Oryzias latipes: one gene and its partners. Each later gene encodes a partner of the first gene's protein in a complex. Links are inferred from orthologs where the notes say so. Each region holds a gene or a part of one and is shown on either strand. Other genes may lie near its edges. The genes, in order: probable global transcription activator SNF2L2, smarcd1, smarcd3, smarcc1, phf10, dpf1 and SWI/SNF-related matrix-associated actin-dependent regulator of chromatin subfamily D member 2.

The links.
Region 2: probable global transcription activator SNF2L2 (region 1) and smarcd1 share a complex: the UniProt entries of both Homo sapiens proteins name them as parts of the BAF complex. The link is inferred for Oryzias latipes from reciprocal best matches to the Homo sapiens genes SMARCA2 and SMARCD1.
Region 3: probable global transcription activator SNF2L2 (region 1) and smarcd3 share a complex: the UniProt entries of both Homo sapiens proteins name them as parts of the BAF complex. The link is inferred for Oryzias latipes from reciprocal best matches to the Homo sapiens genes SMARCA2 and SMARCD3.
Region 4: probable global transcription activator SNF2L2 (region 1) and smarcc1 share a complex: the UniProt entries of both Homo sapiens proteins name them as parts of the BAF complex. The link is inferred for Oryzias latipes from reciprocal best matches to the Homo sapiens genes SMARCA2 and SMARCC1.
Region 5: probable global transcription activator SNF2L2 (region 1) and phf10 share a complex: the UniProt entries of both Homo sapiens proteins name them as parts of the neural progenitors-specific chromatin remodeling complex. The link is inferred for Oryzias latipes from reciprocal best matches to the Homo sapiens genes SMARCA2 and PHF10.
Region 6: probable global transcription activator SNF2L2 (region 1) and dpf1 share a complex: the UniProt entries of both Homo sapiens proteins name them as parts of the neuron-specific chromatin remodeling complex. The link is inferred for Oryzias latipes from reciprocal best matches to the Homo sapiens genes SMARCA2 and DPF1.
Region 7: probable global transcription activator SNF2L2 (region 1) and SWI/SNF-related matrix-associated actin-dependent regulator of chromatin subfamily D member 2 share a complex: the UniProt entries of both Homo sapiens proteins name them as parts of the BAF complex. The link is inferred for Oryzias latipes from reciprocal best matches to the Homo sapiens genes SMARCA2 and SMARCD2.

What each region holds. Positions count from the first base shown.
Region 1 is NC_019867.2:1,061,506-1,065,103, reverse strand, and holds part of probable global transcription activator SNF2L2, read left to right. Parts: intron 1-856; coding exon 857-986; intron 987-1,061; coding exon 1,062-1,445; intron 1,446-2,567; coding exon 2,568-2,666; intron 2,667-2,757; coding exon 2,758-3,004; intron 3,005-3,353; coding exon 3,354-3,480; intron 3,481-3,598. UniProt on the Homo sapiens protein: ATPase involved in transcriptional activation and repression of select genes by chromatin remodeling (alteration of DNA-nucleosome topology).
Region 2 is NC_019863.2:13,904,032-13,908,231, forward strand, and holds the start of smarcd1 (SWI/SNF-related matrix-associated actin-dependent regulator of chromatin subfamily D member 1), read right to left. Parts: upstream 2,881-4,200; 5' UTR 2,845-2,880; coding exon 2,662-2,844; intron 1-2,661. UniProt on the Homo sapiens protein: Involved in transcriptional activation and repression of select genes by chromatin remodeling (alteration of DNA-nucleosome topology).
Region 3 is NC_019878.2:21,156,904-21,160,990, forward strand, and holds the start of smarcd3 (SWI/SNF-related matrix-associated actin-dependent regulator of chromatin subfamily D member 3), read left to right. Parts: upstream 1-1,237; 5' UTR 1,238-1,520; coding exon 1,521-1,598; intron 1,599-4,087. UniProt on the Homo sapiens protein: Involved in transcriptional activation and repression of select genes by chromatin remodeling (alteration of DNA-nucleosome topology).
Region 4 is NC_019874.2:27,730,695-27,734,292, reverse strand, and holds part of smarcc1 (SWI/SNF complex subunit SMARCC1), read left to right. Parts: intron 1-1,811; coding exon 1,812-2,190; intron 2,191-2,295; coding exon 2,296-2,421; intron 2,422-3,598. UniProt on the Homo sapiens protein: Involved in transcriptional activation and repression of select genes by chromatin remodeling (alteration of DNA-nucleosome topology).
Region 5 is NC_019861.2:24,495,879-24,500,003, reverse strand, and holds the start of phf10 (PHD finger protein 10), read left to right. Parts: upstream 1-1,252; 5' UTR 1,253-1,347; coding exon 1,348-1,422; intron 1,423-2,779; coding exon 2,780-2,889; intron 2,890-2,997; coding exon 2,998-3,128; intron 3,129-3,247; coding exon 3,248-3,331; intron 3,332-3,426; coding exon 3,427-3,551; intron 3,552-3,642; coding exon 3,643-3,792; intron 3,793-3,893; coding exon 3,894-4,003; intron 4,004-4,098; coding exon 4,099-4,125. Other genes in the region: rab4a (ras-related protein Rab-4A), read right to left, coding at 136-216, 828-843. UniProt on the Homo sapiens protein: Involved in transcription activity regulation by chromatin remodeling. Belongs to the neural progenitors-specific chromatin remodeling complex (npBAF complex) and is required for the proliferation of neural progenitors.
Region 6 is NC_019871.2:18,133,559-18,137,909, reverse strand, and holds the start of dpf1 (zinc finger protein neuro-d4), read right to left. Parts: upstream 2,861-4,351; 5' UTR 2,754-2,860; coding exon 2,647-2,753; intron 1-2,646. UniProt on the Homo sapiens protein: May have an important role in developing neurons by participating in regulation of cell survival, possibly as a neurospecific transcription factor. Belongs to the neuron-specific chromatin remodeling complex (nBAF complex).
Region 7 is NC_019877.2:6,918,542-6,922,636, reverse strand, and holds the start of SWI/SNF-related matrix-associated actin-dependent regulator of chromatin subfamily D member 2, read left to right. Parts: upstream 1-1,255; 5' UTR 1,256-1,722; coding exon 1,723-1,869; intron 1,870-3,928; coding exon 3,929-4,095. UniProt on the Homo sapiens protein: Involved in transcriptional activation and repression of select genes by chromatin remodeling (alteration of DNA-nucleosome topology).

The DNA of each region.
Region 1 (3,598 bases):
GCCGTGCCAGACGCTCAAATCTGCAGGACCCATGAAGGAGGAACACGGGCTCCTAATGTATGTTATAAAGTCTGCCACGGTACAGGCTACTGATCTGGAAAAAAAACTCTTCATGTTGAGCAATACTCCAATGTTCTTCAGTAAATGTTTGACAAAGCATCAGAAATGTTCCAGAAGGGTTTGGATGAGGAAGGATCGGTGACGGACATCCTTCACCCGCGGGGCTGGAGGTGGTTCTCAGAATTCTGCGGATTCGTGGCTGTCTCTGGTCCCTGACCCCCACCAATATGGGGGGAGTACTGGCTCCACAAACGGTTATTTGTTCTGAATGTGTTGTTAGGCTGAGACTGTCCGCCTGCTGTTGAAGAACCATCAGTTTAGTTCAAACAATAGTTTTTCCCAAATCAGTCAAGTCGTTTAGAGTTTTGTGAAATGACGCCTCTGTTACTCAAAGTCATGCGTGAGTTTTTTTTCCAACACGTCACATTCCAGATGTGTAAAAGTGTAAAGCTGTAAAACCTGCTAAAAATGTCCAGATGTTGCAGCTGACAATCCCACCGTGTTTGGCTGACTCTGTCTGAGTGATTTATGTCTAGTTTGATTTTCAAATCACAGCCTGAAGAAGGTTTACTGATCGTGTCAAACGTTTGGGTCTAAATGAATGAATGATTTTAGCATAATTTACCCAAAATGTTTGTGTTTTGATCCACAATCAAAGAAAAGGGATTTCATCTTCCACAAATGTCTATAAAGGAAACATTTTTCCGGAAGAGCTTTGATCTTCTAACTCAACGTTCCCTATATGGCTACCAAGTCTTTAATATTGTATAATAACTGGGAATGTTTTCCTTTCCAGCCCATGGAGGCCATGACTGACAAGTCAATGACAGAAGCCATGCATTTTGGGCACATGAAGGGTGTGGGGATGAGATCGCTCCACAGCGGGATGGGTCCTCCTCAGAGCCCCATGGACCAGCACAGCCAAGGTAACGGGTCTGAACCGGACGCACCATGAGTCCCATCCATCCACCATGCTCCAACGTGTCACCATTCTCTTCAAGGTTACATGTCTCCACATCCTTCCCCCATGGGAGTCCACGAGCACGCCTCCAGCCCCATGCCAGGAGGTGGAGGTGGAGGTGGACCCACGCCGCCGCACATCCCTCCCTCCCAGTCAGGTCCCATGATGCCCATGGAAGGAGGCATGGCCGGCATGGGCCAGCAGGGCCGCGGACCCTCTGCCTTCAGCCCGGTCCAGCTGCAGCAGCTCAGAGCTCAGATTCTGGCCTACAAGATTCTGGCCCGCGGACAGCCGCTGCCCGAAAACCTCCAGCTGGCCGTTCAAGGCAAAAGGAGCCTACCCACAATGCAACAGCAGCCACCGCAGCAGCCACCGCAGCAGCAGCAGCAGCAGGCGTCGAGTGTGAGCCCCTACAGACCTTCAGGTGAGGATGAGGAAACAAAGGTCAAACAAAAACAATGTAAAGACACCATCGTTAAAAAACAGGCATAAAAAGGAAAACTTACCAAGAAAAAGCCTGAACTGAAAGAGGGAACATACAGTGGAGGTATGGGGGGGCGGGGCTGTGGAACACCTTGTAGGTAAAAAGCAGGACGTTTCCCACCTCCATGAGCACAGTTCTGGGGTTTACAGCTGTAGAGAAGGTGTGGAGGGACTCCTGTGGAACGATCCCGGAGCGCTGGCAGGTCCTCCTGGTGACGAGGTGGAAATCCCACGGAGCTAAAACTGGAGCTCAAAACCTTTTACTGTGATTTGGTTTGTCCAGGTTTAAAAAAGTTCAAACGTTAAAGATGTCATCATGAAGAGCAGCAGCAGAATCTGAAGGAAAAAACCATCATTTATGGCAGGAGTTCTGTTCTAAACCCGCAAAAGATTTGAGGCAGTAAAACGTCTCACAACAGACGTTCTACACTTTTCCCAGACAGACACCAACATTTTCACACTTTTGTTTTAAAACTTTTATAGAAAAATACGTCCAGGATAATAGAATGAAAGCAAAGCTCTGATCCCAGTCAAAGATTTATGTTTGGTAAACTGAACATATTTCACGGCGCAGAGAAGCTTGATTGACAGCCCAGAACGCAGTGCGCTGTTAAAAACACAACAACAAAAACAGAATTGCTCTGAAAAAAGCAGAGAAACGGCAAAAAGTGAACCACAATATCACGAGGGAACTCTGTAATGTTTGCAGTCATCTTTTGGGTTTTACATCCAAACTAATGTGACGGGGATAAAAAGTCTGCACATTCATAATTCTGATTATCAGTTTATTATTTATAGGATCCCCGTTAGCTGTGCTGAGGAGGCAGCTGCTCTTCCTCATAAAAATCCCCAATGCTATTTAATGTGAATCCCAAAAATACACGATGTAAACACGTAAAATTCACATTTTAAATATCATAAATAGAGTTCCTGGACCCTGAACCGTTGTGCTTTAAATCAGTCACACCATCAAAATCTGGATCTGAAAATATGCGGCTCCAAAATGTGACCTCAGTATTTTCATGGAAAAACCAAACTCATCCAACATCTGCTTCTTCCAAAGGGATGCCAATGGCGCAGATGGGCGGCCCCCAGGCCAGCCCCTGCCCGGCGCCTGCCATGCAGGGAGCCAATCAGAGTGCAGCCAAGCCGTGGAGTGATGGTGAGTCTGCTTCCTGCCGGCCTCGGGTCTTAGCGGTGAAACATCTTCTGGCTAAGCAGGCTCAGAAAAGTTGAAGGTCTTTGTTTGACAGGTGGAGAAAATCAGGCCCACGTGCAGAAACACCTCACCCCCGTCTCCAGCGGGCGTCCCTCTCCCGCGCCGCCGCAGACCTCCGCTGTGCCTCCGGGGCCGGCACTGAGCGGCTCGGCAGCTGGACTCCCACCGGGCCAGCAGGTGTCTCCCATGCTGCAGATGCAGCAGAAGCAGAACCGCATCACTCCCATACAGAAGCCCCAGGGCTTGGACCCGATGGGGATCCTGCAGGAGAGGGAGTTCAGGTATGGATGCGCTCGCACACCTCCATGATGCTTCCTCAGTGTTTACAGTGGAGGTTGGTGACCATTTCCTCCAGGAACTCATTAAGTGTCATGCAAAGTGCATTCATGTCAAACGTTCTCAGTTTTCTGAGGTTGGGAGCGTTACTATGGAGGCTGTTTGATCCGTTTTCTCATTAAAGACGTGTGACGCGTGAGGCGCTTTATGTTGTTCATCAGACTCAAAGCTTTAGCTTCTTTTTCATGTCATAGTCACCATTTCAGCATTTCAGACTGGCTTTACTGTTTGACTTATTGTGTTTTAGTATCATTAGGGTTATTTTACCACATCTGTCTTTATACTGTTCTTCAGGCTGCAGGCTCGCATCGCCCACCGAATCCAGGAGCTGGAGAGTCTACCGGGGTCTCTGCCTCCTGACCTGAGGACCAAAGCCACTGTGGAGCTCAAAGCGCTCCGTCTGCTCAACTTTCAGCGGCAGGTACGGCAAATATGTACCAAATATTTGCTATGGATGTTAACGTAAAGCAGAATGTCAAATCATCAGAAGCCGGCTGACGCTGAAACAGTGAAACTATCAAACAGGCTGACGCTGAAAC
Region 2 (4,200 bases), on another chromosome or scaffold:
AATCCTCATTTGCATTTCACTGTGGTTTAATTTAAATAAGAGTCAACATAACTAAAATTATTTTCCACATGAAACTAGTCTTCATGGGAGGCGAGCTTCTAACAAAAAGGCTTCATCCATAAATAGATTTATTTGATTTGCTAAATAATTACAAGCTGTCATAAGATTGTTTTAGCACATTTAAAGTAACAATTTATTGCGATTTTCGCTGTCTTTTGCTATATGCGGATTGCACAGCTTGATATCGCGATAACGAGAAATTTGCCATTTATCGTGAAGGCCTAGATGGAACAGTCAACAGTATCCTTTAGTGGGATTGGTCTTTAAATCACAAAAATAAACAACTGTAGCCAAATCACTGCCTTAGTGAAAAACATTTTTTCATCGAAAGTCTTTTAGATAAACAGACTTCAACATAAACCCACTAGGGTTCAATCCAAATTCTTCCCCTACCCCTCCAGCTTCTCTCTTTCCCTCCAATTGTAGGGGCATTTGGGGGTAGGGGTGTTAGTTTTTGGAATGGAAAACCTTCACTGCGCGGAGGGATACGGAGCCCTCCAACGCAAAGGTGTTCCGCATGTTCTGTGCCGCAAAAGAGAAACGTATCTCTGCAAGTGGGTGTGCCTTGAAGCACAGAAGTTTACACGTAAATGTAAGTAAATACTTTTTGTTTTAGCATGGCTTTTTAATGTTCTAAAACCCACGTTATTTACTTCTGATCGCCACCCGCTAACGTGGCTGACCGACGACGATTGATGACCTCATCGAGTCAGAGTGACGTCTAAATGACTATTTTTATATGACACTCCATTTGGAGGGCTAACTGTAGGTGTAGGGAGAAGTAGAAGTGGGGGAAGAACTTGGATTTGGTCTAGGTATTGTAAATATGAAGTCTGAACATCTAGGACACTTTTAAAACCCTAAAAGAACTGCAGAAATGTAAACTCTTTCTCTTAGTCTGTTTCAACACAACAAACATCTTTAGCATTAATGTTAAACTTCTTGAAAACGGTGACAAAGGTTGCTGCGTACACTACTCCACACTAAAATTTGAATCACCAAACTAGCTAGCTGTACTTCCACGTTCCATTTTAATTTATGTTAGCCCGCCACTAACAGCTCACTTCCCTCATCATTTTTCACTGCCATGTTACTTTCCCCTCAAGTTCCACAATTTGTTTCCACCAAAACATCCCCGCCTAATAGAACTGGACTAAGTGACCCCCCACCCCCACCCCGGATGTCAAATAGGAAGTACCTGCTCGAACGTGTGTAAACCCCGCCTCTAATGATTGAAATGTTTAATTGACAGACTCTCCTGAGCCTGCTTTCAGTGGCAGAGATGTGGACTAAGATAAAAGCTTAATCCTGATTGGCGACAGGAGTTGCCATAGAAGCGTCGACTCCTACAGACGCAGGCTCATCACCGTTTACTTAGGTGGTCTGGCTCCAACATGGGGATGAGTGTACTGCAGATCTAACAGCGACTGATGGATTCATTTTGCTGGAGCTGAAAGTAAGGCGTTTTTTTTTTCTTTCTACGGGTGACGTCAGACTCGCTCAGTCCAGTTCTCTTATACAGACAATGACATCACCACCCACCTTTCCATCAATTAAGAATCAAACGATCTTGATAGATTTATAAATAAGATACTTCTCCATTCCCTGCTAGTTTATAAAAATAAAACATTTTTTGAAGTTTTTCAAGGTTAAGATCTTCAATTTCTAAAAATATTTATCATGCCCTCAAGTAAATTCTGAGTTTACCTCATTTGTAATTGGTTAAAAGTATGAAGACTCCTCTCAAAATTGGGTGCATGTCTTTATTTTAAAAAAATTAATTCAGGTTGGTAGGTAGGTGGGTGGACTTTTAAGTTTACCATGCCCCCCCCCCCCCCCCCTTTTTAAGTTTAACAACTGCAATGTATGAGTAAACTATGTTGCGTGTACTTTAATAGCAAAACATTACCAAGCGTTGTATTATTAACAAGTAGAAGTTCTCGACGGCGGAGTTACACCTAAAACCTGACCAAAAACTCAATGGTTCCGTTAAGTAGAAGTCAAATCAAATGCCAATTTTTAAACGTCAGCAAAGAGAGACGCGACAAATACAAGCGGGTTTTCGGAAATTACCTTTCAGCAAATTTGAATTTAGACTCACATGACGGTAGCAGCCAGATGTTTTCGCAGAGTACGGTTCCTGAGAGGCGGACTTTTTACTTTCAGATTTCCCAGAGGAAATCAATGGATCCCGTCAAAACGAGACGTATTCATAAAAGTTGATAGATTTAATCAATCTGTATATGCCAGTTAACTCCACACAATCAGTAACTAGAGAACTACGACGAGCGTAACACAGTAACTAGTTACTAGTTAGCGTTAGCAGGCGAGGTAGCACAGTTTCATGTAAGCTAACCTTCTGTTAGCGAGCGGGAGGTTTAGCAAATTCAAACATGATAAACTCATAAAAGTCCGCCAGAGCGCTCGAAAAAAATATTTATTAAAAGTCGATTACTTTTAATGGGTTTCTTAAGTTCTATTGAACTGGGCCTGTAGGGGGACGGGGGTTAATGTTAGCCATTGGCGACAAAGCAGCGATGAGTGGCTTTGTTCTACTAGCGGACCGGCTAGCATTGACGCAAAGATGGAGTGATAACTCACCGGGTACCCAGGCCCAGGCATTGGAGATCGGTACATGTGGTTCTGACCAGCCGAAGATGGACCCATTCTTCCAGTGGGAGTCCCGGGTCCCATGCCTGGTCCAGCACCGGGTACAGGTTGTCCAGGTCCAACAGCTCCACCACCACCAGTCGGTGCAGACTGAAACCCCCCTCTGGACGCCATCTCCTCACTAGATGTCGCCTCCGGTGGAGCAAAGGAACTAACGCGAGAGCAACTGAGGCGTTCACTTTGCGATAGCGCCCTCTACTGTTCTCTTTTGACACTGCACGATTGCCCACATTAAGAGACAAAGGATAATTGTGGGGTATGAAGGCGTAATATAGGCTATTTCTTAAAAAAAACATTTAGTATGTTCCTTTATAATATTTTAGTATTTTTCGTGAAGTTTTTTTGTTTTGTTTTTCGTGCTATTTTTTTTAAATACAAGAGCAAAAAACAACAAACAGGCTGGGCAGCTACTCATGAAAACTACAAGAAAAACTATAAAAGTATAGTTCATGTAGTTTAAAATATGTATTAATATATATCAATATATACATGTATATGTATTAATATTATTCATATATAGTTTAAAATATATATTAAAAACACGAAAAAATCTGTCTGGTCTGTAGAAAATAAAACAATTAAAATAAAAAAAGAAAGAACATTTTAATTAGCTGGAGTAATACAGTCCTGACAAGTCCTAACAACCAGCATTCAATTTACATGATTATATGCACAAGAATAAAGTCAACGGGTAGGCCAACCATATTGGAGTAATTTAGGACGCTATTAAATTGTCTTCTTTCTTTTCATGTGAATTCACTAATCTGTTCTATTGCCTTCTATATGTCTTTCATTTATCAAAACAGAATACATTGTTTTTCAATTTTCTCTTATCGAACAAAATAAAACTTAGAGCAAAACAAAATGCCCCAAAACATTATTAACTTTTAAAGAACACATTTAAAAATAAAAGTTTTCATTTTAATTTAGGCTACAGTACAAAATCAATTGGTTCAACAGTGGATTGCTGATATTTTTCATTTTTCATAATATATGACTGTTTTGCAAATGAGAAAATCATTTGATTTTTATTAATGTAACTATTCATATTTTTGTATCATATCCTTTAAAAAAACAATCATGTATGTTTTTAACTAACTTCTATTTGTGTACATATTTGCAGGTTATTTCTGAATGTTTTTAGAAGGTTTTATAAAATAGAAATCTTGATGATGACGTTTTCAGCTACAGGATTGTTTCTTTCCATCATTTTGCTAAGTAACATGTGACACTTTTTGTCTCTACAAGTCCAGAACTTGACTATGTTGAGATAAACACAATATCTGGAGTAGAAAATATTTTCTTTTCAACAACACAACACCTGGTATTTTGTGATGCCTGTTTGTTTGGGCTTTCTGTTTTCTGCTAGTATATACGAGAATCAGAGTAAACCTAATTTCATGGGTCTTTACTTCTTTTGTACTGCAGAAAGAAAAATGACATCAAACAACCTTGTGTAAGGACAACACA
Region 3 (4,087 bases), on another chromosome or scaffold:
TAGATTTTTCTCTTAAAATCTTAAATTTTCCCCCAAAAATGGAATTTTAAAACATTTCTGTACTTGATGGATGATTATTATATTTTAAGTTTAATTTTAGAGCTTAAACACGCCCCCTGAGGTAGTTTGCGCCCCCTCGTGTTCAATAGTGGAACTACTGGTCCCTCTAGCCCCTCCTGTCTGTTTCTCTCAGGGATATATATTACCATTTGGTGAGACTGATTTGCCTCGGTGAGGTAGATGGTGGGGGTTTAGCAGGGGGTACTTCTTGCACGGGTGTCTTTGTTACCAACAGTGTCGCTGGAGAGGCAGCAGACGGACACTTTCTGCAGATCTGCACGAAAAAGCTTTGACCTTGCAGAAAATAAAGACGAGCGTTTGTGGGTCAGTTTAACTGATGTAGGAAATGCAAATGTAATTTGTTTATGGCAAATATAATACAACATCAGATCATTTTTTTTCAATTGAATGAAACACATAAAATTGTACACCGAGGGAACGGAAAAGGACTTTGCAGTCAAGGTTGGGGCTCGGCTGCAGTTTACTCATCTTACCAGCAGGGGTCGCCAGCAGGCAAATAAAAAAAACCGTCAGTGGAGTAAATAATTCATTTTAGAGCTGAAGTTTATCCTGAACTTTCTAGTAAATGCCTTTAAAATAAAATGTTTTTACAAACTGACACAAAAAAAAACACTTTTAGAAATTAATATAATGATTAATAATCGTTTTGTCCACTCAAAGACACTTCAACCCCTTTGCCATTCAGATAACCTCATGAATATTTTACTGCTCCGGTCTGACGGCGGGGGTCTGGTGGTGGTGGTGGTGGTGGGGGGTCCTGCTGCTTCAGATGGGGGGGGGGGTTGAACGTCCCTGCAGTCACCTTGCTGTTGGTTGGCCTGACTGTGGCCCCTGGCCTGACAAGTGGGTGAAAGGTAAAGGCCGATGAAACGCGAGGAGGAAGTGATGGAGGAGCAAACCGGAAGTGGAGGTGCTGTGGACAGGAAGCCCTCACGTTCATCCTCCGAGTGCGGCGCCTTTTATTTCATTTCATTTTTTTGAGAATGAGCTCGTGTGTTGGTGGCCGGGTGGTGAGCTGCAGAGCGGGAACCGGCCCTCCCCAGCTCCCGCTCCACGGCACGCGGCGCTGCATACCCTTATCCACCAATGGAATGCAACAGCTGTGTGGGGGTGCGGCCGCGTGGGCTGGCTGAAACCCCCCTGCCAGACCCCCCCCCTCCGTCCCTCCCTCCACACACCCCACCTCCGAGCTGGCGAGCGACGTGCCGGGGCTCCTGAAAGGCGGCTCGGCTCGGAAGGGGGGGAGGCAGATCCACTCCGCGTTCCGGGAGAGGGAGGGAGGGAGGAGAGAAGGAGTCGGGGACAGGCAGTGCTGAAAAGGAGAGCACAAAGAGAAGGAAAGTGGAGCAGGGGAGGGGAACCGGAGGCTGGCTGAAGGGAGAGACAAAAGAAGGAGAGGGGGAGACGCAGCGGGGTGAGCGGAGGGGACCGAGGAGCAAATGGCTACGGAGGAGACGGCGGGGGGAGCCAGGAAAGCCACCAAGAGCAAACTGTTTGAGTTCCTGGTCCATGGGGTGGTGAGTGGCGCTGTCCGTCATTCCTGCGAGGCGAGCGGGGCTCCGGCATGTGTGAGAGCGCGCGCGAGGGTGCGTGCACGCGGCGGTCTGCGCGCGGGATCGCTGGGTAGAGTGAAGGTTATTTCCAGCTCCCCGGACCTCCGCCTGGCAGGAGGAGGTGGTCTGAGAAGTGGAGCAGCATGGATGGATGGATGGATGAGCTGCAAAAAGGCATCAGCTTTTGGCTAACGGGGCTGAGGGAGGGAGGGAGGGAGGGGGGGTCAGAACGGGGAGGGGGGGGGGGGTCTGCTTCCAGCTGCCGGTTGGTGGTGGATGAATTTGAACCTGTAAGGTCACGAGACGACCGGATGTAGTATTGTAGACGGAGCCACTCCTGGAAATCATGCAGAACAATCGGCTCATTCATGTGAAGACTGCAGGCGATGTCAAGCGTCGCTCCCGGTTCACCGTTTCCAGGGCCGCGCGCGCACATGGACCGGTTTGTTTTGGTTCGGAGCTGCAGGGTGTGTGTGCGCGTGCGTCTGTGTGAATGATCCACGTTTTTCCACGCAGAGCCTCACATCCACACCACGTTCTGGATTTGATTGATGATTTCAAGCAATCACACCTAGAATCTTAAGCATGAAGACATCCAGCTTAGTATGTCCGATGATAATAAATCAAGAATTGATTTGGGAAATAAAAACTCACAGTTGACATGCAGTAAGAAAATCCTGCTTAACAAGAAACTATTTTGAAATTTTGTTTGAAATAAATGTGAAAAATCTTCGTTAGAGAAGAAATTAGAAGTAAAAAACCTTAATTAAAATATTTTTTTTTAGCAAACAATAGAATTTGTTTAAAAAAATTCCCATCACTATTTGAAAAATTGCCCTCTGATTTTGCTTTGGTTTACTCTTTTCAAATAAGTTTGTGGCTTGAAACTGTGTCAAGGTGAAATCCTCAAAGGTTTTAGCCATTTTTCTACCATTAATATTTATCCCTGCAGAACACAAGAACAATTTTTCTTCTGGGCTGTTACAGTTGTGTGTGTTTTTGTTTTGTTAGTTCATTTTGATCTTCGGCAATTAAATACATCCACAAAAATAGAAGACAAGAAAATACAAATAATTTAATAAAATAAATGAGCTGTGACCAAATTTGACCCCATGGATTCTCCAAGGTTCTTTTAGAAACAACACATTTAGAAACTAGACAATAAATTGACTTTTTTTAGCAGCTAAAAGACAAAAACTCTTTGATTTCACTTATTTGTAAGTTGATAACTCACAATAACAATCTGATATTATTATTACTTATATATATATATTATATTAAGATAATCTTTGTTTATATTGATCGACATTAATCAGTTCTTCTAAACCTATCGTCAAAGCGTTCTTTCTTATAATTATGATTATCAAATCAAAAACGCTTTTTAGCGCTGTCTTTTGTTTACTAGGACATAGTTTCTGCAGGTTTGTGGATGATTACCCATCATCCATCTGTTTACCTGCTGGCTTACAGCTAAAAGACAGATGTAGTCGTCTACAAGTGGATGCATCTAGCTTGTAGCCCACCAAATACAAGCTTCTTCCACAGCATTTTTTCATCTGCTCCTGATTCACAATAATGTGGCTACAGAAATACTCAGAAATGCAGTTTTAAGTTGAATTTATCAGAAAAATCCCACAGGAACATGTTAAAAACACCATTTTCATGGGAGCAGGTCTTTAATTGCAGCACTTTGTCTTTTTAAAGTGTATTTTTCTTTTTTTGTCACTCTTTTCTGAAGATCACGTTTGAAGAGAAAAGGTTTTTTGGTTTTGTTTGGAGAAAATATGAAATTTAATGGTGGAAGAATGGAAAAAAACAATACAAATGATAATAATCTTATCTAATAATAGTAGAACTTTAGTTTTTGTTTTTTTTTCTGCATCAAAAATTCCCATCACTTTAGAATAAAAAAATTAAAAAAAACTCCCAAGTTTTTCTTTGTGCTTTTTGGAAATGGGAAATGCCCCCCTGCCCCCCAAGGAGCTCCTACCTCCCCACTGAAGGAGTTTTGGAGAACTTTCATGACGACGCTCCTCTCCAAGACCCGGCCGCCTGGTCTAAAAGCGTGGGCGCTGCGACGCCGGCGTGGAGGATTTGGATTGAGGCATTGTGCCTCTGACAGGAGCGGTCACGACGCGGGTTCGAGACCCTCTCTGGGGGAACAATGGAGCAGGTGATGGATGAGCCGGACCAGCGTCTCCTCTCAACAGACCAATTAACCTTGATGAGACTCTGGCTGCTCCAAGCCAAATATTTCCCTCTGCTTATTTTCACTCGTGCCGTCCTCCCCCCCGTCTCCCCCCCCCCCCCCCCCCCCCCCCCAGAGCAGGAGATGGAAAAGTCTTGTTATAATAGTTGCGGCAGGTTTCTTGGTGTGCGTACAGCAGGACGGAGAAATATTTATACCATGGGGTATGGGGATGATGTGGGGCGGGTTGCGGCGGGCGGTGACC
Region 4 (3,598 bases), on another chromosome or scaffold:
ACTGCTACTTTTGTAACACACTTTTAACCCTGCGGCTTATTCAATGATGCAGCTAATTTGTGCACTTTTTTCTAACGCCCGCTAGGGGCGCTCAAGCAGAAAAGGTAAGCGTGAGACGGGGGGATGCAAGATTAATGTAAATTCCCGCTTTGAGAATGAATAACACAAACAGATACTCACGGGGAATTCAAGAAGAACAGCAGTTGGATCTAGCTGTCAGTCATCTGAACTGTCACTCACATAACTGACTGCAATGGAAAGCTATCCAGAAACCATGCACCTTTTGACTCTGAAAAGTCTCAGGAGGAGTATATGGGCGAAGCTGAATGCATACTCTCATTTCCAGCATCAAGCAGATTTATTTAGACACACCCACAAGCAGCCAAACAGCATGAATGTCACTTCTGCTCTTTGACCCCTCAGTCACAGTGCAACAAAAAGAAACACCAATGCTCAGCCCTATTTTGGCCGCATCCCATAATCCCTTGCTGCTATTAGACCCAACAAGCACGTGACCGTCACTACAATATGACGCAGCTTTCAAGTTAAAAGCAATCGTTAAAGCAGTGTGAAAAAATCCACCATCACCAATGGGTTTAGAAAAGCCGGTCTGCTGCGTGACGGAAAGGACAGCGCAAGCTCAGGAGTGAATTTGCCTCAGGATAAGAGTGACACTGACAGCGACAACGAAGGAGACACTGAGAGAAGAATATCGAAGAATATCTGTGGCTATTCCAATCCAACACTGAGGAGGAAGACTGCCATGGTTTCAGTGCACAGGACAAAGATGAAGAAAGCTCTCAATGACTTTTACGTTCATGTTTTTTAAACCAGCCCTGTTACTACCATATTGCTGCTGTTCCGAAAGAAAAGCTTAGGTATACCATTAAAACTTTGAAAACTCTTTCTGTGTACCGTCTTTCTTTGTAAATATATCATGTGTTGAACCTTTCCTGCGATTACTTTTTTTTCTTTCTTTCTTCTCCGCCAAAGGTTGTTCACTTCCCCGTTAGGACCCTCAGAGCCTCCAGAGTGGGTTAATAAAGAATCATTCATCTTCTTCTGGGGGAAACCTTCATTTATCACCCCCAACACACTTGCTCTCACTCGGTGCATGCGCGCTCTCTCTTCCTTCCGCTGCACGCACTCCCTCCTCCTTCTCACACACGTGTGCGCGGTTTCAGCACATTCACATCCTCAATCTACAACACAGAGTGGTGACCCGGGGGTTAGCTCGCCTTCAGCCTCTTAGACTCATGGGAAGTGGGGAATCGTGGGTGGAAAGTTCCTCAACCATGACTGAGGGGGCTGTGAACAGAAGTGAGATCCATGCTGTTTGGCTGTTAGTGAGTGTGTTCAAATAAATCGGCTACAATGCCGGAAAGGACAATATGAAATCTGCGTTTGCAGCTCCCTTTCTGACACTGTACGACACGTGCAGAACAAAGACTACAACATGTTTATACGGGCGCATGCGCCTGATATACAGGTGCGGCTTGTGTGTGTGTGTGTATAAAACAGCTAACTGTTTGAAAATGTAAAGGGTGCAGCTTGTAATCTGGTCCGCTCTATCGCCCGGAATTTATGTTACATGTCTATTCTCATGTTTGCCTGAGAGAAGTGTCTAAAATGTATTGGGGAGTTTTACAGCCTGAAAACTAGAATCCTACTTGGTGGATTTCACCAGTTGCAGGTTATTAATGGAACGTATCCCCGGCCATAAATGAGGGACCACTGTACCTGGAAAGATCGTGTGTTGTTGCAGTGTGACATGTTGACTGTTGTTGTGATTCACTGCTCCTTCTTTGCAGTTGGAGCTTCAGCGGCAGCAGCTCCTCACAGAGCGACAGGCGTTCCACATGGAGCAGCTCAAGTACGCAGAGATGAAGGCACGCCAGCAGATGGAGCAGCAAGCTGCCGCTGCAGCCGCCGCCGCTGCTCAGGCCCAAGGGCAGGGACAACCCCCCGGTCCCGGACATCACCACGGGCCCCAGGGTCCTGGACCCCATTCTGGACCCCCTCCACCAGGCATGCACCCTGGAGGGCCTCCACCCCACCACGGAGCGCCTCCACCTCACCACGGAGCACCTCCACCCCATCTTGGAGGTCCTCCTGCTGCTGCAGCAATGCACCCTGGTTACCCGCCCATGGCTCACCACCCCATGGCCCCCCACCACCCTGGACCGACGGGTAAAGACAATGGTTTTCGGAAGAATCATCGAATTTCATTTTAGCTTTCTTCTTGTTCATAATGTGGCATTCCAATAAAGTGGCCTCGTCTTTTCCTCATTGTAGGACCGATGGGACCAGGTCAGCCAATGCCTGGGCGTATGATGTCCGGGCCACCGTCTGCCGGACCCCCTCCTGGGGGAATGCCTCCCATGATGCCTCCCCGTCACCCGGGAGCTCCCAACGGCATGTGTGAGTACCAAAGTCTTCTTCTATGTTTACATTGTTTTTCTAATTTCAAAAGGTATCGCCTTTTTTTTTCAGACTATTAGGTAAACATAGTTTTCTTTGTTTTTGGTGACAAACTCATCTGAACCTCTTTCCTGAGGGGAGGTGTCTTTAAAGCAAAAACCACAAAGCAAACCTGTTCAGGGAATTCACATCCGTCTGACTCGAAGCAGACAGCTGGTATTTACTCCAAATGTCAGCTAAACGCTGTTGTTTATTATTTTTGCACCAATGTGGTCAAACTTTTCATGTAGCAGGAAGTCGTGTTTCTGACAGCTGGGGTGCTGGTTTGGCTCCAGCTTTCATTCCAGAAATGTCTTAACTGATTCAGAAAAAAATGCCATCAACACATCATCCAGTGCTCCCAGTTATGATCAAGTTTGTTTACGTCAGGCTAGCTGACTGAGGTTAACCCAGGCGTGGGCAAACTGTGGCCCGCCCAGCTGAAATAAATTATACAGTTTATTAATGCCAATGTTTTATTTTCTGGTATCCCTATAGATGGTACACTACAAATAAATTGACCTTTGTTTTAGGTGCAGAAAGTTATTCTGCATTCATGTCGTGGTGGAAGATTTGGGGTTTTTGTTTTGTTCGTGTGTCATTTTTGTAATTCCAGTGGATTCCGATCAGAGAAAAGCAGATTTGTGCTGGAATGCTACACTTCGTATTGGTTAACATTTACGTCTACCAAGTATAAAGTTTACATTGATAGTGTCGACACTTCACTGCTGTACAATGTTGAGTTTTGGCTCAAAGCTTCAGCTTCAGAATCTTTTGGAATTACGTCAACTGTATAGAGTTACGGTAAATCAGAGAACAGCAACACTGTAGGTCAAGCTCTGGTGTTGAAGGTTACCTGAACTATTCCCTTGGATATAGGCATTGGCTAATGAATAAAAATGATTCTTTTAAGCGTTAAACGCTGGAGATGTCGCCAGCGTCACCTAAATAAACACACGCTCTTTAAACTGTAACTTCTTTGTAACCCTAACCGCATCTCTTCAACCATTTTAACGGATTCTGGTACGAAGAAAAGCAAATTTGCAAATTGGCTTCGCCAAGTCATGCCTGGCGTGGCATTTTATTTGATCACAGGTTAAGCACTTTACGTTAATTAAAGTCCGACACTGTGTTGGTA
Region 5 (4,125 bases), on another chromosome or scaffold:
AAAAATATGTTAAAAACACACAAATAACGACTGTCTTTGAGTGGGACCTTAAAGATATTTAAATAAAAGAGTCGGGCAATTACTGTGTCATTATTATAAAGCTTTTTCTAGTGATTACAACTGAAGCAAACTTACATCTCTTTTCTATGAACTGGTGCAGAAGGCAGGATTTGCCTGTTCCAGCATTTCCAATCACTAGGAATTTAAACAGAAAGTCTGCAGAGGGAACACAGTAGTAACATAGATAAAGCAAACAGGGTTTGAATATGCTGCCTTGTTATTAATAAACTCAACTATTCTTAATTTTTTTTTGATACAGTTGTTGACATGTACACATCTGATGTCTACACTATACAAATCAAGACAAATGTGTCGTAAACAGATCGAACAAAGCCTTATATATATATATTTATTCTTTACTCCCACTAAGATAATTATCATGTTTAATGTTGGTTCAATTGATTGAACAGTTGTAGCATAGTGTAATTTGAGCAATGCCTCACAAAACACAGAGATATCCTATCATCACTTGCGTTTGCAAAAGAAAAGCGGGAGTCTCTTGCTTTGTGTCCTAGTGCTTATCCCGGGAACAATAGCATCTCCTATAGTCACAGCTTCTTGCATTATAAAGCTTTACTAATACACCTGTACCCGGAAGGCAGATTTATTAACGCTGACATTTGAGTTTAAAGGCCAAAACCTTCCTACTCCTCAGTGGCTCGGTTAGCCTGCCAGCTAGCTATTTGTTTACGAAGGGACCTCATCATCCCTTTCCTGCCATCTGTGTGTGAGATTCTAACGGGTATAAAGCAAGACAGCCTCCTTACCGTAAGACTCCGACATCCTCGGTGTGTCAGCTAAGCTGCAAGGCAGAGAAAGGCGAAACTGTTATTTGTTTAGCTTGCTAAGTGATGGAAATAGTCCTGTTGGTGATTTCCTTGGATTCTATGATTTCCTCCTCCAACTTCCTGTACGGTGTGTGTGGGTTTTTTTTCTTCAAAATAAAAGCATTCTGAAATGACACTTATGCCACATAGTCCTCAAACTACCGCGTGGGGGTGATGTTTGGATATGTTCTTATGGTTTCAATTAATGAAAAATAAATTCTCGCCGTTCTAAGTAAATTTTAAAAACAGCCCATTTCGCTGAGAGTTTTATCTATATGTAAATTAATTGGTTTGCATGTTGTGTACAAATTCTCTCTTTTTAACATATTTTTTGGAGGATCTAGGAGGTGGCGCTCTGAATTTACACAAACGTCAACCGAGTCCGTGGTTGTCCAAAGAAGAAGAAACGTAGTTTCCCCCGCTAATCATTAGCCTAGCTGTGGGCATTATTTATCTTAAAATGGCTACATTATTCCCTATTATTAGACCACCAAGTGATAGCAGTCCCGCTACTCCTGGGGCGCACTCCATGAAGGTGATTTTTTTCTACTTTGATAAATATCCATTAGCTGTTGTTTACGGGGAAACATGACGATGTTTTGCTAACAGATAGCTAGCTAGCCAACGGACGTTTCCATTCACTAGGACAACTGTCAGCCACTTTTAGCAAAATCATTTGTTTTCAAATGTGCTCAAATTACTTCCTCTTGAAGTAATTTGCTCCTATTATTCGTGTATTTCTCTATTAGTTTGCAACGTTGAAAAAATATATAAATAAAAAAAAACTAGATTGTGTAGCCATTTAAATATAAAGTGTTGCTAATTTTTTCCCTGTGTAATCCTAGTCAAACTAGTTTTGCACATGTTCCCATTTTCACAATAATACGGAGCCCCTAAAGGGCCATTGATGAAAAAAAAAAAAACTTGAGGAAATTTTTTTTTTTTGAAGTAAAAAAAAATTCTTTGAGCTAAAAATTTTTTTTTTGAAGTAAATAGGAAAAAAAACTAACTGGTGCGCACCAGTTAGTTTCAGGTGCGCACCAGTTAGTATCAGGTGCGCACCAGTTAGTTTCAGGTGCGCACCAGTTAGTATCAGAAGATATCAGATAGTTGACCTGCTTGCTCATTGTGCACCAAGTAGCTACAGTTGTCTTGAGAATGGCTAAAGTTGAGGATATGGACCTTATAAACTTTCTGAAAACACGAAATATTACTGACAATGTCATAATGTCACCTGAAACTAATTGGTGCGCAGCTGAAACTAACTGGTGGGCACCTGATACTAACTGGTGCGCACCTGAAACTAACTGGTGGGCACCTGATACTAACTGGTGCGCACCTGAAACTAACTGGTGCGCACCTGAAACTAACTGGTGCGCACCTGATACTAACTGGTGCGCACCTGATACTAACTGGTGCGCACCTGAAACTAACTGGTGCGCACCTGATACTAACTGGTGCGCACCTGATACTAACTGGTGCGCACCTGATACTAACTGGTGCGCACCTGATACTAACTGGTGCGCACCTGATACTAACTGGTGCGCACCTGATACTAACTGGTGCGCACCTGAAACTAACTGGTGCGCACCTGATACTAACTGGTGTGCACCTGAAACTAACTAACTGGTGCGCACCAGTTAGTTTCAGGTGGGCACCAGTTAGTTTTTTTTTTCCTATTTACTTCAAAAAAAATTTTTTTTACTCCAAAAGAATTTTTTTTACTCCAAGAGAATTTTTTTTTACTTCAAAAAAAAAATTTTTTCCTCCATTTTTTTTTTTTCATCAATGGCCCTTTAGGGGCTCCGTACAATAAGCTTTTCGATTCTATATATTTTGGTGTTCATCTGTTTGAAAAAAAATGTTGGTGAATCTTTTTTCCACTTCTGTAGGAAGATGTAATTGATGAGGTATCTAATGATGGGAGCCAGCCACCGAAAAGGAGGAGAATGGGTTCAGGGGACAGCTCTCGGAGCTGTGACACCTTCAGCCAAGAGCTTGGGTAGGCTACTTGTTTTTGCATTACAATTTGCCATTATTCTTAAGTAATTGCGTCAGATACCAACTTATAAATCTAATGTGTTGTTCCTGCCCCCACCTCCTCATCTAGGGTGACTTATTTCCCAGCAGAAAACCTAATAGAGTATAAATGGCCTCCTGATGATACAGGAGAATATTACATGCTGCAAGAACAAATCAGCGAGTATTTGGGTGTCACGTCATTCAAACGCAAATATCCTGGTAAGAATTGAACAATAATTCACAAAATGATCAGGAAAGGAAATGTTTAAGTGCGGTTGATTTAGCAACTGCCCAAATTATGTTTTGACCAGGGAATTTTTTTTAACATTCTTGTGCAGATATGGAGAGGAGAGACCTGTCTCACAAAGAAAAGCTCTACCTACGTGAGCAAAATGTTATCACTGAGACGCAGTGCACCCTGGGTACGAGCCAACCCTAAAACTCTTTGTTAATGCACAGACTTCATACATTTATTTATATTTCTTACATAATGTAGTGCTGTTGTATTTATATGCAGGATTGACAGCTTTGCGGAGCGATGAAGTGATCGACTTGATGATAAAGGAGTATCCAACCAAACACTCTGAGTACTCTGTGATATTGCAGGAAAAGGAGCGTCAGAGAATAGCTAAGGAGTACTCTGTAAGAACACCAGACTAGAACAACCTTTAGTTTTTATTAGAAATTGTCGAAACGCACGAACAAATAGTTGTACTCTCTTGTGCTTTTGCAGCAAATGCAGCAGCAGAACCCTCAGAAAGTGGAGGCAAGCAAGGTTCCTGAGTACATAAAGAAAGCTGCAAAAAAAGCTGCTGAGTTTAACAGCATCTTCAACAGGGAGCGAATGGAAGAGAGGAGAGCTTACTTTGACCTCCAGACTCACGTAAGTCTAATGGCAGATGGTTTAATAAATCTGCATCAGTGCAACGTTGGTTGAGCTTTTGACTGATGCAACTCCTTTTTGTCCTCTGCTTTTTGTCTCAGGTTATTCAGGTGCCCCAGGGAAGGTTCAAAGTTCTTGCTCCAGAACTAACCAGAACAGGACCCTACCCTGTTGCTCTTATCCCAGGTCAATTCCAAGATTACTATAAAAGGTACGTTCCATAACTGTTAGCTCTTCGTAAGTGACAGTAGTCTCTCAGTTAACGGTAAATAGATTTTAGATACACGATTGTGTTGTTTGTGCCAGGTACTCACCCAATGAGCTGCGCTACTT
Region 6 (4,351 bases), on another chromosome or scaffold:
GGAAACAGGGCAGAGATGCAGAGATGGATGCCCCGGCCGGGGCTTCAGCCGTCACATGGGGCTGTTTGCACACAGAGCCAGTTATTACATGGAACTCATTTAGCTGGGCTCAGTCAGGCAGGGCAGAAATATCATTAGACAGGACCTGCCACAACTGCCTCCAACACCACAGCACACACTGATCTGCATCTCCCCCTTTAACCAGCTCTCTGCTGAAGGAGATGCCTCATCCACTGCAGCTTTGACTCAAACAGTCTCCTGTGTGACTCCAAAGGACACATTCACCACTTTTAACACCGACATTTCAGGACAAACGCTCAAAAGTATGGGAGGTTCACATTGTCTTTTAAGCTAAATAAGTATTTGCAACTCCACAAATCCATTTCAGTGGCTTGCATTTAACTGAAAATAAATTCCTCTTGAGCAATCCTAAAATTCTATATTATATATAATATTTATATATAAATATTGAAGGGAAATGTGATCAAATGCAAAGAAAGCTCCCCTCACTGCTGCTCGCACTGCATTTGAAAACACGGTGCTGCCATTGATTCAAAATGCAGAAGTCCTGTGGAAAATGGGCAGAGGAGAAGGGAAAGCAAGGCAAAGAGGAAATGGTTAAACAAAGGGATGGACTGAAACAAGTGATGGATTGAGAAAGTGGCAAAGAAGGAGGGAGACGAGGAGGAAGACTGGGCAGAGGGGGTGATGGGAGGACAGAGAGGAAATCACAGGAAAAAAGGATAGAGAGTAAGAGAGATTAAATGATTCTCTAATCCAGCAGAGAGAGGCCGACTGGATGAAGCTGGTTTGCTGATATGCTTTTGCACACACATGAAACCCTCCACTGTACGTCCACACACGTCCAGCCGAGCATGAGCGGGCTGCACAGCTTGGCTGGATCCTGGGCATCAATGGGAATTAACAAACACGGAATTAATTGCAATTTACTGCTGAGACTCAGCTAGCTTTAAAGACATTTTGGGACACAACAGGCTTTGTTTCTGCCTCCGGCACGCAGCCAGCCCCCCCTGTTAGGGCTGACTTTGAACCAAGTCTTTGGTTCTTTGGCTCGATTCACAGAATGGGGGCTCTAATTTACAAGTCTCCATAACAAGTTTGTTTGCAAACATGCTAATTTCAAGAGTGTATATCAGAGCTCATTTGGTGCTTCAACCAGACCATGATAAAGTCATCTAGAGGAAAGACCTCTAAACCTGATGCAGACTTTCAGCTTTTTAAGGGTTCTGCACTGAAGGTCCAAACAGACACTTTGTCATCCCTCATTTGGACAGTCTGTGTTTTCAACACTAGGATGTAGTTCATTATCCTCTGGCCCAGCTGCCTTCTGACTTTTTTCCTCTCATTTTTCTCCTGTTGCCTCCCAGTTCTGCTGCAGACTCCTTGCAAATCAGTCAAATGAATCCCGACATGGTTTCACTGAAAGTCTCTGGGCGCAACCTGGCCACACGGTTGCTTAGCTTGGGCATGCAATGGAGGAAGAGTTGAAAGTGGAGAAGAGAAAACAGAGGAGAGCCACATCCTGAAGATTCTCCATCCCAACGTCACCTGCCCGCCTCAAAATAAACATTTAACAGTCAAATAACAGCGACTGTGTGGATGGAAATGACCCACCTGACGATTCACTCATGATTTGAACAACAAATGGTGAAATACCATCACAGCCATTCAGAGCAGTTTCTTAATTGGCAGTTCCGTCCACGCTCCAAACTGTTCGTTGATCTGGGTTTGCGTGAAATGTCGCCGGCGTGTGCGCGCCCCGGCGCGGTCTGTGCGCTCAGGTGAAGCAGCCGAGGCGCGCAGGTCTCCAGACTTTTCTTTGTTTCAAACTGCTACAGTTGGAGCGCTGTGGTGCCGGCGGGTTGGTGCCTGCGCCTTTATGCGTTATGCGGGGGAGATTAGTGCCAGCACCCGCTGACAGCCGCGCGGTGGCTACCTCTGTCTTTGGCCGGGAGCATCAGCGCGCGCCGCTGCATTCCTCCAGAAAAAGACACCCCCCCCCCCCCTCCTTCCGAATAAAAACATGTGCAAAACGGACCGTTAACGGACAAACTTTAGGGAGAAGGGGCCGCTTTAAACACGCCACCGGCTGATAATCATCTCACTCTAGGGTACAAAGCGCCGGCATCCCATTCAGATGGAGTCAGCGTGGGAGACGCAGTGTATTTACCTCCGCCTCTCCATCTCCCACAGGTCCAGTAGTTCGGCTGCAGCCGGAAAGCCGCTCCGAGCTCCGTCCTGCCTCTAAAGACGCGCGCTAACAGGTTCTGGAGGGCCATGTTAGCTCGACTCAGCCCCCAGCCTGGATCTGACCGATCTTTTGGGTTCATACACCGGCAAGGGACATGCCGGGTCACCCAGAGCTCCCCCAGCATTCCTCCATACGCGCGCGCGCTGCTGCTGGCTCGGGTACGGGATGTGAGGAACCGCAGCGCATACTCAGTGACAAAAAAAAGGACACCGACACGAAATCCCGCAAAATAGGCTAACTTTTCATTGGCATCATAATCTCGGTCTCCGCCGTTTACATCAAGCGTGTGGTGGAGCAGGATCAGAATTAGAACATAAGGAGATGACGCTGACAGCATGCTCGGATGTTAGGAGCGGAGAATGAACGGTACTCACGATTTGAGGGGGTTCTGCACCGCTGTGGCCATTTTGATATAGTGTGATAGAATGCAACACCGCAGAGCCGGTGGTTTTCTACATGTAATGTAGCATTTCAATTTCATTCATTCTCTGGGGCTGCGGCTTCAGCGCACAGCCAATGGGAGGCGGGAGCGCACCGTGGCTGCTTGTGGGAACTGTAGTTTTGGCGCACGGCGGCGCGGAGGACGGACAACAGATGATGACTACAAATACCGGCGGGGGTAGGGGGTTCCAGTGGTTCAGCGACCCGCCTCGTACTTGAAAGGTAAGCAGAGCCGTCCCTGTCCTAATGTATAGAAAAAAAGTCCAGTTGAGCCTGGTGGAGCTTCGGGATGGAGATCAGCCTCACATGTGAGGACAGAGGTCGGGACTACTGATCCCACACAGGAATCTCGAACAAAAAATAGTCTTAAAGGATTCAAACAAAACTGCATTTGGATCATTTTTTGCCTTGTGCACAGGAGGGGGTAGACATCACAGCCTGAAACACTGGAAAATCATAAAACAAGTGTGCATGATAACTTTCAGATGTGGTTGGATGCACAGAGCCGTGTCTCAAAGCTCCGAGCACCTTTAATTATTCATTAATAGATTGAGAGTGGGCATGTAATTGATTCTTTCAGACATTTGTCTGTCGTTGCCTCCTCGCCTGAGAAGTGGGAACCCCTCCAATTCGTGCTGTTCCTGTCGTCTGCTGCAGGGATGGACGGAGGGAGGCAGGAGGACGAGGGGTAGGAGCAAGGAGGCCTGGATTTGTCTTTACAGTTTGGCAGTGGAGCCACAGTAGTGGAGCCACCACTCTGAATCCAGTGACATGTGATATTTATAGATCTGTGCTAACAAATATTTAATGAACATTAGCAAGCAGCTCGAAAAGGCCCCACTGCTCAAACCAAACGCCCTGCGACAGTTTTTGTGTTATTTGTGAGGAAGATTTTCAAACAAAGGGAATGTTTTGAAGGACAATAACAAATACATCAATACTGTCCTAAATTAAACTTTATTTTATAAAAATAAACGTATTGGAAACATGAAATAATTCACAGATTTTTTTTTTTTTTTTTTTGAGTGAGGAAATCATGCCGTGATCGCTGATTTCATGAATGGCAAAGCTGCCTTTTACACTTTGACCACAGGGTGGTGCTAAAGCACTCTATCGCACAGAATGTGGGGGTGACGTCGAAGTTTACGTCCTCCTTCGCCCCGCCCTCCGTACGCACGCTCTGTTGTTGTGATTACAAGTCATGTTGAAGTTTCGTTTCTTCTCCCGCGTCCCGATTATGACATAAACACCTGAGCAGCGATGTCTGAGGTCCTGATGAAGGAAATTGAGAGAGTTTCCATGAAGCCGGAAGAGGGTCCCGGCGGCGCGCGGAGTTTCCTGTTGGTGGACGAACAGGAAAACCTGCAGGTAAAGTTAGCCGTCAACAGTTAGCCGCTAAGCTAACGGAGAACCCGCCTATAGAGAGGCCTCTGTGTGTTACAAACGTGTTCAAGCTGATCCAAGTGAAGTCCGGACAAGTAGACGAATGAAAGCTGTCAGTTGACATTGGAGGGTGGGGGAGGTCCAGGGCTTCGAGTAGGAAAATCCCCGGTGAGTCATGCCGGGTGCCTGAACCGCTAGGGGACGCAATAACGTTGTTTTGTGGCTGCAGCCATCGATGAGTTATATAGCGATAAC
Region 7 (4,095 bases), on another chromosome or scaffold:
TCGCTGGAACCCAGCTTTACACTTCCTCGCTCTGGTGACATCACTGCGACTTGGCCTTCAGCGTTTTTGAACGCTGGACAGGATTCTCAAACCCATGAATTCCAATTATTGTAAAATCATTTATTTGCAAAAAATCCTAAATATAGAATCACTTTATGAATAAGATCTGGTAGGAAAGTGTTATGCTTTTCTATTGCTTTGTCTGTTTTGTATGGGGTGTTCAAGGGCAGCTGTTTATGAGTGGGTGGACTGAAAGACCTTTTTATTTTTTGTTTCATGCTACTGAAAAGTTTCATTAATTGACCCTCCCGAAGAACCAGCTGCCTTTTGTTCACAAAAGACAGTAATCTCTGCATACAGATACAAATAAACCTCAAATTTTCATATTAAATAAAATGCTGAAAAAGAAATCTTGTAAAATTCTACAAAAACATGTTTCCATAAGATGTTGCAAAAAAAACTTTGCAGAAAAAACTGTCATCTTAAATCCCTGAGGGCATTTAAGTTTTTTTATTTATTTAATTTTTTTGGTAAATGTATTTAATTATTTTCCAAGGACAAACTGATATTATACAGGGCTGATGTCAATTGTAAAAAAATATAAATAAAATACAGACTACAGTATTAAATTTCTAGTTTAATATGCCATACATATGAAAAAAAGTTATTTAGCTGGGGTCAGTATTGCTGACTTGCCCTAAGAAATGTGTTTAACACTCTCATTTAAAGAAATTCCAAATCCCTATACTAAAATTTAAAAATAATAATTTTATGCCATTGTAAAGGGGAAGAAAGCAATTCTGGCGAGAACTTTCATAAACCTTAGAGAAGACAAGTCCAAAGAGCAAGATGATTGGCCATGTTTTTTCTGAGTCGTATTCTCTTAATATCCTGTAGAGGGTGCTGTTGTGCGTACTTAAGGAAATTTGTTTTCATTCATCTCATAATATAATATAAATATAAATCCTGATTTATTTTGCCTTAGATGTATTTAAAAACTATTTAAAGTATTATTTTTGTTTAAACATGACAAATTATATGTAAATTATTACTTGAGATATGGTTTATTTGTCAGTCCGTGATATCTTTCCATCACTTTTGTTTTGTTTGCAGCTTCTTTTATGAGCATGTACTTTATAAGAATGTAATAAAAAATAAAACTTTCGATAAAAAGTTCATGAGAAAAAAAAACGAGGATACCGTGTGTAAGAGTTTGACTTTCAGATTTCAGACGGCAGTGAAGGCACCACTTAGTATTGCATGTAGGAGTGTACGACAGGACAAATTCGCGTTTTTTTTTTAATTTATTTTTATATTTAAGCGTTTAAAAGACACCGAGTTTTTTGCTAAATCGGGCGTTATTATTGTCTTAAGTGAGCCTCCCCGTTAAAATGCGGAGGGACAGTTAGTTGGACATGTTAAGGAACGCAGGCAGGGGCGGGGGTGACGAAGAACAGTCGCCGCTCCGTCCGTGTTGAGAAAACCAGCAGTTAGAGCCCGGAACTCGAGCTGTTAAAAGCCGAGCTAATGTTAGCTAGCTTTTTGTTGACAGCGTGCTTCCTGTCAGTGTAGCTAGACTTCTACCGACGCGGCGACGGTTATTTCCAACTCATTTATTTATTTATTTCTGGATTTTCAAGTGACACTCGCTTCCCTCGCTTATTATTGGGCCGTAAATCGTCGGGAGTTTTTCGCGGCACTTTCAACCACTTGTAGCTCCGGATGATGGCATCGAAAGGGGGGTTCACGGGTCCTCCGATGAATCCGAACTTGAACCCCATGAATGTCGGACACCCCACGGGGATGAGAATGCCCGGAATGCTGCAGCCCCCAACGGGTTATCCCCGAAGTATTCCCCAGTTTGCCCAGGTTTGTTTTTATGATTGCCTTCTTCTTTTTTCCCCTCCAACTATTTCTATTACAATACAAGAAAAAGCGGCCAATTCTTGTCAAAATGTCATGGTATGGAACTACTTCCGCCATTGAAAACGGTTATAAAAAATTCCCGTCATCAGTCAAATGGGTTTAACGTGTCATTGTGGCACCAGAGAACATTAATTGGGGGTAGAGGTTTTAAATATTCTGGCCTTTGTGAATAAATGTACTCTGTTGAAGTGTGAACGGGGTCACGTGGGTGCCCTTGGCCTCCTGTCAGTTAGAGAAAACAAAAGGAAGTTTATCATCACCACCATCTATCCAAAGACCACTTATACCATCCCTGTTCCAGCACCATCTGGGCTTCATTTGGACCCGATTGTATCCTACAAATTAGAACCATCAAAGTTCTGATGTATGTTTTTCTGTGAACGGTTCATAAAATGTCAAACTTACTCACTGTCCAGTCTTCAAAGCACATTTTCTTTTCATATAGGAAATAAGATTGTTTGACAGTAAAAGAACTTTGAATAAATATATTAAAGTCCCACTCGATCCTCGTTGGATCTGCTTTAAAAACCTTCCCAGTGGAGTTTTGATTATGATTATCCCAGTTTTTAGGAAATAGTTTCTGCACAGCAGCAGTGGTTCATTAGACACGTGTGTCCGAGTTGTGGGCGGAACAGTTGAGAGAGTGTAAACACCTGGATGATGGGAAATTGTGGCAGGCTTACTCCACTGGCAACAGCTCCGCCCACCAACAGTTCCTTACAACCCCAACATAATATTTTCGGTGTAACAAAATGGCGAGCAACGTCGGGGCCATCCAGACGTACAGATTTGAGCCAAATGCCTGATTCACAATGATTTGAATAAAGGAAACACTCAAAAACACCATTTTAAGCTTCATTTAATTCATGTATGTCCTCCAAGAACATGTTAAAAACATCAAACAAACATGATTTTCATTGGAATGGGTCTTCAAAGTCAAAATTGAGTTCTCAAGGACATTTGGCAATCACATACAAACTGATTATTTTCTTCCATAAAATAAGCCAACAAATTGTAAATAAAGTGGGGCAAAGCTGAAGATGCTCCATCTTCTGTATGAATTTAGTGGTAGGATTTGAAGCAGATGTTTCCTTTTGTGTCTCACATCCTTGTGTTGGAATCTTGGCCCGTTTCTCACTGCAGCTTTGCTTCAGCTTTTAAGAAATGTTACAGCTCTTGTTTCCTTGGAGTGTTTCATTTGGGTTGAGGTCCAGACTTTTGCCAGGCCGTGTCGCAACCTTAACCGTTTCCCTGTGGTGTGACCTGAAGTCAGCTCAGCTTTGGCTCGCCGACTCACGCTCTCGTGTGCTCTTGGTGTACTCTGATTACAAATGAGTTCATGGCCATCTCAATATCTGCAAGGTCTGCAGAAGCCGTGACTAAAAAACAAAGCAGAATCGAAAGGCCCTCATTGCTGTGCTTAATAGAGCGCAGGAAATGCATCTTTTTATTTGTTTAAACAAAATTCTATGAAGGTTCAATTGTAAAAGTATTTATCTTTACTCGTAAAGTTAAATTGTAGTTCAGATTGACATATTTAAAAAAGTTTGTTCCAATTATTGATGAAAACTCTTAGTTAGTAAACTATAATTATTGTGTTTTTAGTTATAAAAGTTAATAAGCCATAATTAGTCCAGTCTATTTTTATCCAACTAACATCAAACCATACAGTTAATTTTAAGAAAAGAGCCCCAATCTTCTCTTTTTATGTTTATTTTGAAGCTATTTAGGTGGGAAACAAAAATGTAAAAAAGTGTAAATGATTGCTTTAATTGTAATAAATTATCGATAAGAAAGATTTAGACATATTCAAAGTAACTTTTCTTTTGTTTAACAATGTTAAAATCCAAATCAGCTCTGAGTTAGACTGAAGGTTTGTGTTTCTACCAGAAATGGACAGAATGGATCAAACTCAATAGAGATCAGCCTCACGTGGGTCAAACGACACGACACGCCAACTGCTTTTCCCTTTTGTTCATCAAACTGTTCTTCTTTCATCCAGCGCCCTGGAATCCCACCCAGCAGGATGGGGGGTCCTATGGGGGTAATGGGGAGTCAGATGCCCGGTCCCTCTTACGGTGGGGGTAACCTTCCCATGCGGCCAGGCATGGACGCGTCAAGAAAGCGTTTTCTCCACCACCAGCAGCAGCAGCAAGAGGCGCTCGGAAG